Neodiprion lecontei: one gene and its partner. The protein of the gene in region 1 purifies or fractionates together with the protein of each later gene. This does not show direct contact. Links are inferred from orthologs where the notes say so. Each region holds a gene or a part of one and is shown on either strand. Other genes may lie near its edges.

Region 1 (5,169 bases):
TAAACCACCCATTTAATCTTAAACACTCTGTTACATATAAAAATATATATATAGAAAGCTTCTCTGCACGGCAGAAAATTCATTGAATAATTGTTCACAGTAACGAAGAATTCAGACGGAAGACAAACGGGCGTTTTTTCGAATATATCATCACTCGAAAAATAATGAATGAAATGTAAGAGCTATAAGTATAATTGTAGATTTTCTCGGCTCACCTCTGCTGGCATTCGCATTAATATAGATTAAAATAACTATCGATCGATATCGGAATCTAACGTTACAATAACGCTTAAATCGTTGTGGATATAAATGGATTACTTCTGTTCGATGGTGATAAATTGTTATTAAGGGATCAAATAACGGTACGGTACGACACGATAAACGATTATACGAGACGTGAGCTATGGATGCGATAATTAAAAATTCAAAAAGTATGTACACTCGAAGTAAAATGATAACGAGGTCTCCGCGAGAGATCAAAGTAAGAATGAAGAGGACCGCGTACGTTGAACGACTGCACGGGGTCAACTCCCAGGGAAGTAGGTCACGGGTGTGTAGGGAGGAAAATAATCTCGCCACTGCAAACACGTATCAGCGTTCCACGACAAGGGTGACAAGGGGACGGGGTTTGAATCCCTGGGAGAATAAAAACGATATTACAAATAAGGGAGTTGCGAATGTTATTGAAAATCAGTAATGTCACGGGAGGATGATAAAATTGATGTATAGTGCACCCAACGAACGAATGGAAGGGGCGCGCATGCAGGGATGGTACAGGGGAAGACTCGTGTGCACAATCTTGAGATATATGAATAAAAAAGATTTTGCCATACCTCTCTTGCCATTACGTCATATCCCTGCAGGTACGGGACCGTCCCACAAGCACTTATTTAAAAGAAGTAGCGGACCGAACGCTGCAGCATTCTGATCGCGCGGTTCTCGGAGATGCCGGGTAGAGGCGGTCTAAACAACGGACCCTAACAAACGGGTCCCTTGGAAACTACATCTACCAGGAAATCCCTCATCCTACTAGGTATCTTACAATTACCCGATCTAAGATTTCACTAACGCATATGGGCCAAATTGTAACAGTGGCTTCCTCCCAGCGGTTACTGCGGCGACTCCTAGTTTTAGATCGATTCTCTCTCCGTGTACGTACGGACACCCTCACCCTCGCCCTCTGCACCCACCTTGCCCTCTTCGCCCTCGCTATATTCCTCCCACTCACTTGCCTCGCGCCCGGCGAAGGTTTCCTCTTCTTCTTCTTTCCTACTCGTATTCGCTTATATTATTCGACTCGCACTCGCCTCCCTGAATACCTGCCTACCCTTAAACAGCCTACGTCTACCCTTACCGAGTATCCTTCTCGTCTTACGCATTAAACTCGCCCGCTCGCTCCCACTCGCGCCCACCCCTGCCTGCCGCACGCCCAGTCGCGCGCTCTCTCGTATTCCGATTTTTCAACGCCTATACTCGCCCACTCGCCGGTCAACCCACGGGAAAGTTCGAACCACGATTCGAACGCCCTCGTAAGACTTCGCCAGCGACGCGCGCCGCGCCATTTAAATGCAAAATGGCGCCCAACTTGGAAAACTGAAGCGCTATCTGTGGTGTTTCCACATAGTTAGCCACTTCTGCAATCGTCAGACCCATGGTTGGAGGAGAGGACCATCTTCAGCTGTTGCTCTCTCTTTCTAATTACGGCTTCAGCTAGCTGCACAGATGGCATAGTCTGTCTGTATTATCTTGTAAGTCTATGGTGTACAAGCCCGATGGCTACAATCTACAATGAGGATGACGGACTTGAGTAAATCCAAGTAATTCTTAGTCTATGATCAGAAGTTGAATATTTCTATTTTTTTTTCATCTGTTAACCTTTTTGCAGCAACGTCTATCTCGTTCCGTTCGCGGTTAAAGGCATGTACCAGTACACGTGTTGAATAAAGAACGGTGGCAACGTTCGCCGCGTAATGTATTTCGGAAGAGGTTGCAGAGTGCCTTGAGAGTACAATTGAAGCCAGGAAACTACCCTTAAAACCAATACAAGATGAGCACTATATTGGAAAAGATCGCCTCGATCGAGGCTGAGGTAACCTATAAATGCGTTAATTTTTGAACAGCTTCGGTGTCCGCATACCCATTCAAATCACTCGACATCCTCTAATAACATGAAACCTCGATTCTCAGATGGCTCGGACCCAAAAAAACAAGGCGACGTCCGGCCACTTGGGTCTTCTTAAGGCAAAGCTAGCCAAACTTAGAAGAGAACTGATCACCCCCAAGGGAGGCGGTGGAGGCGGAGAACAGGGTTTCGAAGTAGCCAAAACCGGTGACGCTAGAATTGGGTTTGTCGGTAAATATTGAAAGCACTCTGATTAACTGCATTCGATAACATCCCGTCTTGCGTTACAACAGGATTTCCATCCGTTGGCAAATCAACCTTGCTCAGCACTCTTGCCGGTGTTTATTCCGAGGTAGCTGCATATGAATTCACTACCCTCACTACCGTCCCTGGTTGCATCAAGTACAAAGGAGCTAAAATTCAGGTTTGCAATTGATAGAGAGTCCGGAATTCTTAAAATTATCCTATCTGGTAATACGAACCAAACAAAACGATAAATATGTCATGAATTTTACATTCCAGCTTCTAGATCTTCCTGGTATTATCGAAGGTGCTAAAGATGGCAAGGGTCGAGGAAGACAGGTTATCGCAGTTGCACGTACATGCAGCCTTATATTTATTGTATTAGATGTTCTCAAGCCTCTTGGTCACAAGAAGCTCATTGAACATGAACTCGAGGGATTCGGTCTGCGGCTGAATAAGCAACCTCCAAATATTACTTTCAGAAAAAAAGATAAGGGTGGAATCAATCTACAAACCATGGTGAGAATTGTGAATTGGTTTCAGTTAGCTAATTTTTCTTGGATTTATGTACAGCGTGGTAGCTGTTGAATTTGTTTAAATTTAACAAAAAAAAAAATCTTGTGTTCAACAGTGCGTACAATCCGAACTCGATTTAGACACCGTAAAATCTATCCTCTCAGAGTACAGGATTCACAATGCGGACATAACTCTCCGCTACGACGCTACTTCGGATGATCTTATTGATGTTATTGAGGGTAATCGTGTCTATGTACCCTGCATTTACCTTCTCAACAAAATAGGTAATTAACTATCATAAATGTCGAGTTGTCGAGAAAAGCTGAGAATGGATCACTGTTGTTACATTGTTATTCAATTATGATCATTATACTGTTTCCCCCCCCCCACAGATCAAATTAGTATCGAGGAGTTGGACGTTATTTACAAAATACCACACTGTGTACCAATCTCTGCCCACCATAAATGGAATTTTGATGATTTACTTGAAAAAATGTGGGAGTACTTGCAACTTGTGAGAATGTACGTATGTGTAGCAAATTTATTATAGTCCTATAAGTGAATTTTAAAAATGACTGTGTTATTATTGTAATATTTACAGTTATACAAAACCAAAAGGCCAGCTTCCTGATTACAACTCGCCAGTTGTATTGAACATCGAGCGAAGATCAGTCGAGGATTTTTGCAACAAACTGCATCGTTCCATTGCTAAAGAGTTCAAATAGTCAGTTTCATTGGTTGTCTTTTTCTAATCTCCGCATTTTCTCTAAGTCGAAGACAATTAACCATAATATATTTAATATTTCAGCGCGCTTGTTTGGGGCTCATCGGTAAAGCACCAGCCTCAAAAAGTTGGAAAAGATCATATCTTATGTGATGAAGATGTTGTACAAGTTGTTAAGAGAGTGTGATTTTAAAAAGTGGAAACATTTCGTGACTACCAACGTGCTGAAGACATAATTACGGATCTGTAAGAAACGATAGGTCCACTTTGATTAGACTATTTTCCGATTATTTCCTTCTAGAGTTTGTCACCTTTCGGAACATCTCGTTGATCATAAATGGGTTCAACGTGAGATGGACTATCTGATGGAAATTACAATTTTTTTTATTATTTTCACAAAATAATTTATCACACAAACATGCATTAAACAAGATCCACGCATATATATATACACATATGTATATATATCTATTTTATGAAAACCGTAACAGAATTTTTTTTCTCTAAAGCGTACAAATTCTTACTGTGTCATTGTTTTCAGTGATGAAGAGCGTTAAATAAATATGGGCTGGTACTAAAAATTAAAGCCTACATCTGCATTTTTCTCCACAATTTCTCAGTTCGACTCTTGAAATTATTGTGTAGTATGTAGCTTATTGTAAACGCATTTAAAAAATAAGAAATTGTCGAAGTATAAACTTATATTACAGATAATACAGTTATAAACAACGAAGGTATATTTCCTGCAATGTCTGTGTTAAATAGGCGTGTTTCAAATGCAGTTAATTCAAAATATCGCGTAGGATTGGGTGCTTGCCTAGACTGAGAAATGCTTGTTACGAAAAAACTTACATTTAAAACAACTTAAACCTGTAGCGCAGTGATGTGCGAGGGTTAAAATTAAAACATATTTATTTACACTTAATATCTATAAAGACTGAAGTATGTAATCCTTCCTCTGTTGATCTAATAATTTTTCCAGATGATCGCATCTCTTCTTTGCTTCATCAATCTCTTTGGCGAATTTCCCTATTGCCAGATCCTTTTGCGTTACTATTAACTTGACCCTACAACAATGAACATGAATGAATATCGGATAAAGTCGATAGAATTAACTATTCCTTACCTGCTATAAAGTTGAGCCATTTGAACATCTCTATTAGAATTATTTTCAGTAAGTTCGCGGTGAAGAGAGGCTATTTTATTCTCCAGTTCTCGTTTTTCCATCTCAATTTCCTTCCTAACAATCTTCTTTGCATCGTCTCTCTCAATCGTCAATTGATCTACGCTCTTGTTGAGAACGAATAAGAATTGTTTGTATTGAGTGCTTATCATATTCCACAACTGATTTCGACAATAACATTACACCTCATACCTGTTTAGAATTACTTAGCTGGATCATACACTGCTGAAGTTTTCCCTCAGTTATTTGAAGCTGCGTCGTAGTCTCTGTGAGGCGTTCCTGCACGGAGGTCACTTTACTTGTCAGCAATTCTTTGCTGTTATTCAAGTCTTGTAGCTCTGCCTCATATTTTTCTTTCATACATCTTGAACAATTTTAAAA
Region 2 (4,343 bases), about 32 Mb from region 1:
CTTGAAGTAGAAATTAGGTTTTATTATTTTGAAAAAAGTTAAGCATACACTTAAGGACAAATACCTGTAAGTAGCAAGATCTGGTTCACTAAGGAACTCACGATGTAAAGTTCCGTCAGTCATGTATTTGATACGGGTACGCTGAGAAGTACAGTCTTCAAATCGAATAGCATATCCAACTTCGTTTCCTAATTTAACAGCCATTTCATGTGCAACTCTTGCGGCAACAGACATTGCAGCAACTCTTCTGGGCTGAGTGCAGCCTATGACTTTACTGTCATCAGCAAAACCAGCCTGATATAAATACTGTGGAATCTGAGTTGTTTTGCCAGAACCAGTTTCGCCCTCAATAATTAACACCTGTTCAGACATAACATAAATCTTACAGTAAAAAAAGTACAAGGCAAATGAATGAGAGTAACGTAATACAGATATCAAATTTCACCTGATGATCCCTGATAGCCTGTATCAAGTCATTTTTAAAAGGATATATAGGAAGACTTTTCTGTGTCTCTTCAATGGTAGTTAAAACTTTCATTTCCTTCGGAGGAGAAACAGCTTGTTTCTTATGCTTGGAGCTTCCTGGTATCTGCAGCGCCTGGACAAACTCTACTTCATCTTCCAGCAACAGATCATAATCCTGTTTAGCTGTAAAAAATTAAATATTCCTTAAAAATTATAAATAAGCAAATCTTACTGATAATTGTGAGAAGAATTATTACCTTTTCTATCTTTTGCCCCAAAACGAAATACTGCTGATGACATCTGGTCCGACTCCCATTTGCTTTGCTCAGATTGCGGTGGTTCTGGGTCAACAGTTTCAGGCTCAACAGCATCTTTGCCTCGTTCATGAGGCATGTGATACCTTTGCACCCGTTCCATTTCACGCGCCTTCTCATGCTCTTTGGCAAGCTGAAGTAGCTGCTTTTTATGTTCTCGTTCCCTCTTTTCGCGCTCAGTCAGGCTGTTAAATGAATTTGATTTATAATTTTGAAAATCAATACTTCAATCCAACCAGAAAAGTATTCTACTCCTGTAAAACTCACATCTCATCTCCAAAGAGATATTCATCGTCTAATATGTCAGCCTCGAGCTCAGCTACCTTATCTTCCTTTCGTTTCTCTAAATACTTCCTCCGCGATTCGACGCGAAGTTTAGGAATAAGCTTATCACGAGATTGAGTTTCCATAACCTTAAGTCTCTTGGCTGCTTCCGCTGCAAATTTGATAATATTAAGTGTATGAATGTCACCACTAAGTGATTGTATAAAGCTGATAAAACAACTTAGGACATTTTGCCTAAACTTACCAGCCCCGGATCCAGCTGGTGTAGCAACCTTGCGCACCTTCGTATCATCTTTGGACTTGAGACGTTTGGCAAATTCATCCCTTTCCTTAATATCCCTTTTGCGCCTCTCCTCTTCGCTGTCACTGTCACTGTCTTCTGGCGACGATTGCTTCCTCCTATACTTGCTCATTTTCTGTTTCTAAAATCCTCAACGACTCATCTAGGCTAAGTCCTGAATTATATCACAACGGTTAGTAACTGAAATGAAGGTTGAAGCAGATTATTAAATTTCGATGTTATCGCTGGACAACAGATGAATACTCACTAACAGTTCTGGTAAATGTATGAAAACTGTTTAACGTGCGTATTTTACGGGACCGGGAATGATAATACGATTGTTAAACAACAAACCACGATACAAAAAAACCTGACCACTAATTTGAAATAGTTTGAAATCAGCCATAAAAATCGTGTTTGAGATGCACACACATTCGGGTAAATAAGTTTGCCTTTTGGAACGGTCGAGGAAAACAATAATAATCATAATAAAGTCACAATATAAAAATTGAATAACCCGGGTACATTTTAAAATTACACAATGAAAGTGATGTGTATAACAAATTAGAAAAAGTGCTCAAATCTTAAAAATATCAATTTAGTAATGGATGATATTCAGAAAAATGACAAAAGGACTGAAAATTTTTATTCCGACGCTGCCAACTACTGGTCTAAAGTCCCAGCCACAGAGGATGGAATGTTAGGAGGATTTGGGTTCATTTCGAACACAGATATCGAAGGGTCGGAATTATTTCTAAGATCAGCCTTCAAGGTACGGTATTCAGTCAAATTTACACAAAATTGTGTTTCATAAATATTTTATTGATGCTCGCCACATTGATGCCGAGATACCTAGGAACGTAACCTCAAAATTCAAACCCACATGTGCTTTCGTATAATTTTGGAATCCATCTGAAGGCTGATTCCAAAAATATATTTTGATCTATATTCTGTGATTTCCATATAACGCACGTTTCAGTTAAAAAATCCTCCGAGAAAAGAATATGCTTTAGACTGTGGTTCTGGGATTGGCAGAATATCAAAACATCTACTTACCAAACACTTCAAAAAAGTTGATTTGGTTGAGCAAAATTCCGAGTTTCTAGAAGCAGCAAAAACTTACCTCGCTGGTCGTACAAAAAGAGTTGGGGAATTTTTTCCCATAGGTATGAAAGTAAAAGCCTGAGAATCTTAAATAATTTACATATAATACATGTAATACTTTACAGGATATTACTCTTACAGGTCTGCAAAACTTTTGTCCTGAAGTAGGGAAGTATGATGTCATATGGTGTCAATGGGTTTTAGGACATCTACAAGATAACGATTTTATAAAATTTTTCAGCCACTGTCAGTTAGTAACATTTGCTATTCATATTTTGTTTCAGTATTGTAATTTACAGTGGAAATGAGAATTTACCGTATAATTTACAATGTAAAATAGTAATCTGTAACTTTGTAAAATATATTCAACAGGGCAGGACTCAAAGAGAATGGCGTGGTAATAGTAAAAGAAAATATAACAAGTTCTGAAAACGTTGAAGTTGATACACAGGATTCCTCAGTAACACGCCCACTGAAGGAATTACAACGTTTATTCGATCTGGCTGGATTTTCTTCTGTAAAGGAACAAAAACAATCCAGACTTCCACGAGGTCTTTATCCTGTTTATATGTTCATATTACGACCTAGAAAAATCATACGGAATTCTGTGAGCAATGTACTACAGTAGAAATAAATAGTTCACAATTATCACATAGATCAGTTTAATTCCGACATTGCACACAACAATAAATATATATATATGATGATTGTTAATATTTAATTCTTTGATATGAATGAAATTGTAAAGAAAAACAAGAAAGACCACTTGAAAACCATACACAAGAATAATTTTTAAAAATTTTAACACTTTTTAATTCAATAAAGTTTATACTCAACTGGTTTAATTTTTTCAGATACAAAGTGTCGATTCACTAAATAAAAATATTTCAATACTCTTAAATTTACCATAGTTTAATTTCATTTTGGTCTGATTTTTTCATACATGAAGTGTTGATTCGCTTCCTGCGGCGTTGAGTTTATAACACGCTTTTTTACTGCGTGAAAATGAGCCAAAACATGCATGTATAAATCATTCTCCATCTGCCATACTTGCGAATTTTGAATTTTCTTCACAGTTTCTGGGAGAGGGTCAATTTTTTGGGTAGTTTGTCGTAAGTGGGACTTGCTATCTGAAAAAATTAATTGATTTGAGATTTTTTTAAATTATCACAAACTGTAGTTGCGTTATATTGTAAAGACATTGCCAGTGGATAAAAGTAGTAGACTAGAAAAATTATTAAAAATTTGATTGAATTTTAAAACATGCTATGCTTTACTATTATCAATCCTTAATATCTAACACGTGTCTTACTATGCATAAAGTGATCATAGGCTCCTTTGAAAAATCGTGGTAGTGTAGCCTGAAGAGTTTGTACAAATTCTGGTAATTCTTCTGTGACTCCAACTAGGAGGTAGTGTTTTTCTACATTTCTTTTAGCTTCTGCAACTGCCCATGGATTACCGACTTCCCTTTAATCAATTAAATCATTACATTCAACTAAATATACGTTTGTGATTATAAAAGATAAGAAATTGCACAATAATTCTCAGTCAATTGATTTCCAAGCATATTAAGTGTAAAAACTTCATACCAACAAGCAGGTTCGTGTCCACAGAGGAACGGAACTTGAAGCCACATATTGTTTGGATCACAGTCAGGTTGTCCATGTCTGACGCACTCGTCGAATGTCTGTAAGATGTAAGGTATGTTATCTTCACAAAGGATAATCTTACAAGGAAGAAAGAAGCGGAATATGCTAATTGATAATACCTTGGTGTCGCCATGCTTTTTTCTTATTAAGTGTGGTCGGAAATTATCTCCATATCTTAGAAAGTAGTAATAAGATACGAATCTGTCCAAAGGTTTTCGTAATAAATTTATATACAACGGTGTA

Evidence for each region.
Region 2: the proteins of GTP-binding protein 128up (region 1) and N-terminal Xaa-Pro-Lys N-methyltransferase 1 purify together in Homo sapiens (affinity purification with mass spectrometry; 3 studies listed by BioGRID and IntAct, counting the BioPlex papers as one, with this or other methods). This does not show direct contact. The link is inferred for Neodiprion lecontei from reciprocal best matches to the Homo sapiens genes DRG1 and NTMT1.

Annotation. Positions count from the first base shown.
Region 1 is NC_060261.1:2,391,910-2,397,078, forward strand, and holds GTP-binding protein 128up, read left to right. Parts: upstream 1-1,859; 5' UTR 1,860-2,047; coding exon 2,048-2,089; intron 2,090-2,187; coding exon 2,188-2,353; intron 2,354-2,415; coding exon 2,416-2,546; intron 2,547-2,644; coding exon 2,645-2,884; intron 2,885-2,996; coding exon 2,997-3,165; intron 3,166-3,273; coding exon 3,274-3,403; intron 3,404-3,482; coding exon 3,483-3,605; intron 3,606-3,689; coding exon 3,690-3,792; 3' UTR 3,793-4,530; downstream 4,531-5,169. Other genes in the region: uncharacterized protein DDB_G0272682, read right to left, coding at 216-233; centrosomal protein of 131 kDa, read right to left, coding at 4,534-4,672, 4,732-4,895, 4,981-5,152. UniProt on the Homo sapiens protein: Catalyzes the conversion of GTP to GDP through hydrolysis of the gamma-phosphate bond in GTP. Appears to have an intrinsic GTPase activity that is stimulated by ZC3H15/DFRP1 binding likely by increasing the affinity for the potassium ions.
Region 2 is NC_060261.1:34,123,671-34,128,013, reverse strand, and holds N-terminal Xaa-Pro-Lys N-methyltransferase 1, read left to right. Parts: upstream 1-1,824; 5' UTR 1,825-1,948; coding exon 1,949-2,116; intron 2,117-2,323; coding exon 2,324-2,510; intron 2,511-2,589; coding exon 2,590-2,698; exon of another isoform or gene 2,699-2,820; coding exon 2,821-3,076; 3' UTR 3,077-3,366; downstream 3,367-4,343. Other genes in the region: probable pre-mRNA-splicing factor ATP-dependent RNA helicase mog-4, read right to left, coding at 65-360, 446-648, 723-964, 1,047-1,215, 1,309-1,477; heparin sulfate O-sulfotransferase, read right to left, coding at 3,367-3,578, 3,761-3,918, 4,041-4,138, 4,220-4,343. UniProt on the Homo sapiens protein: Distributive alpha-N-methyltransferase that methylates the N-terminus of target proteins containing the N-terminal motif [Ala/Gly/Pro/Ser]-Pro-Lys when the initiator Met is cleaved.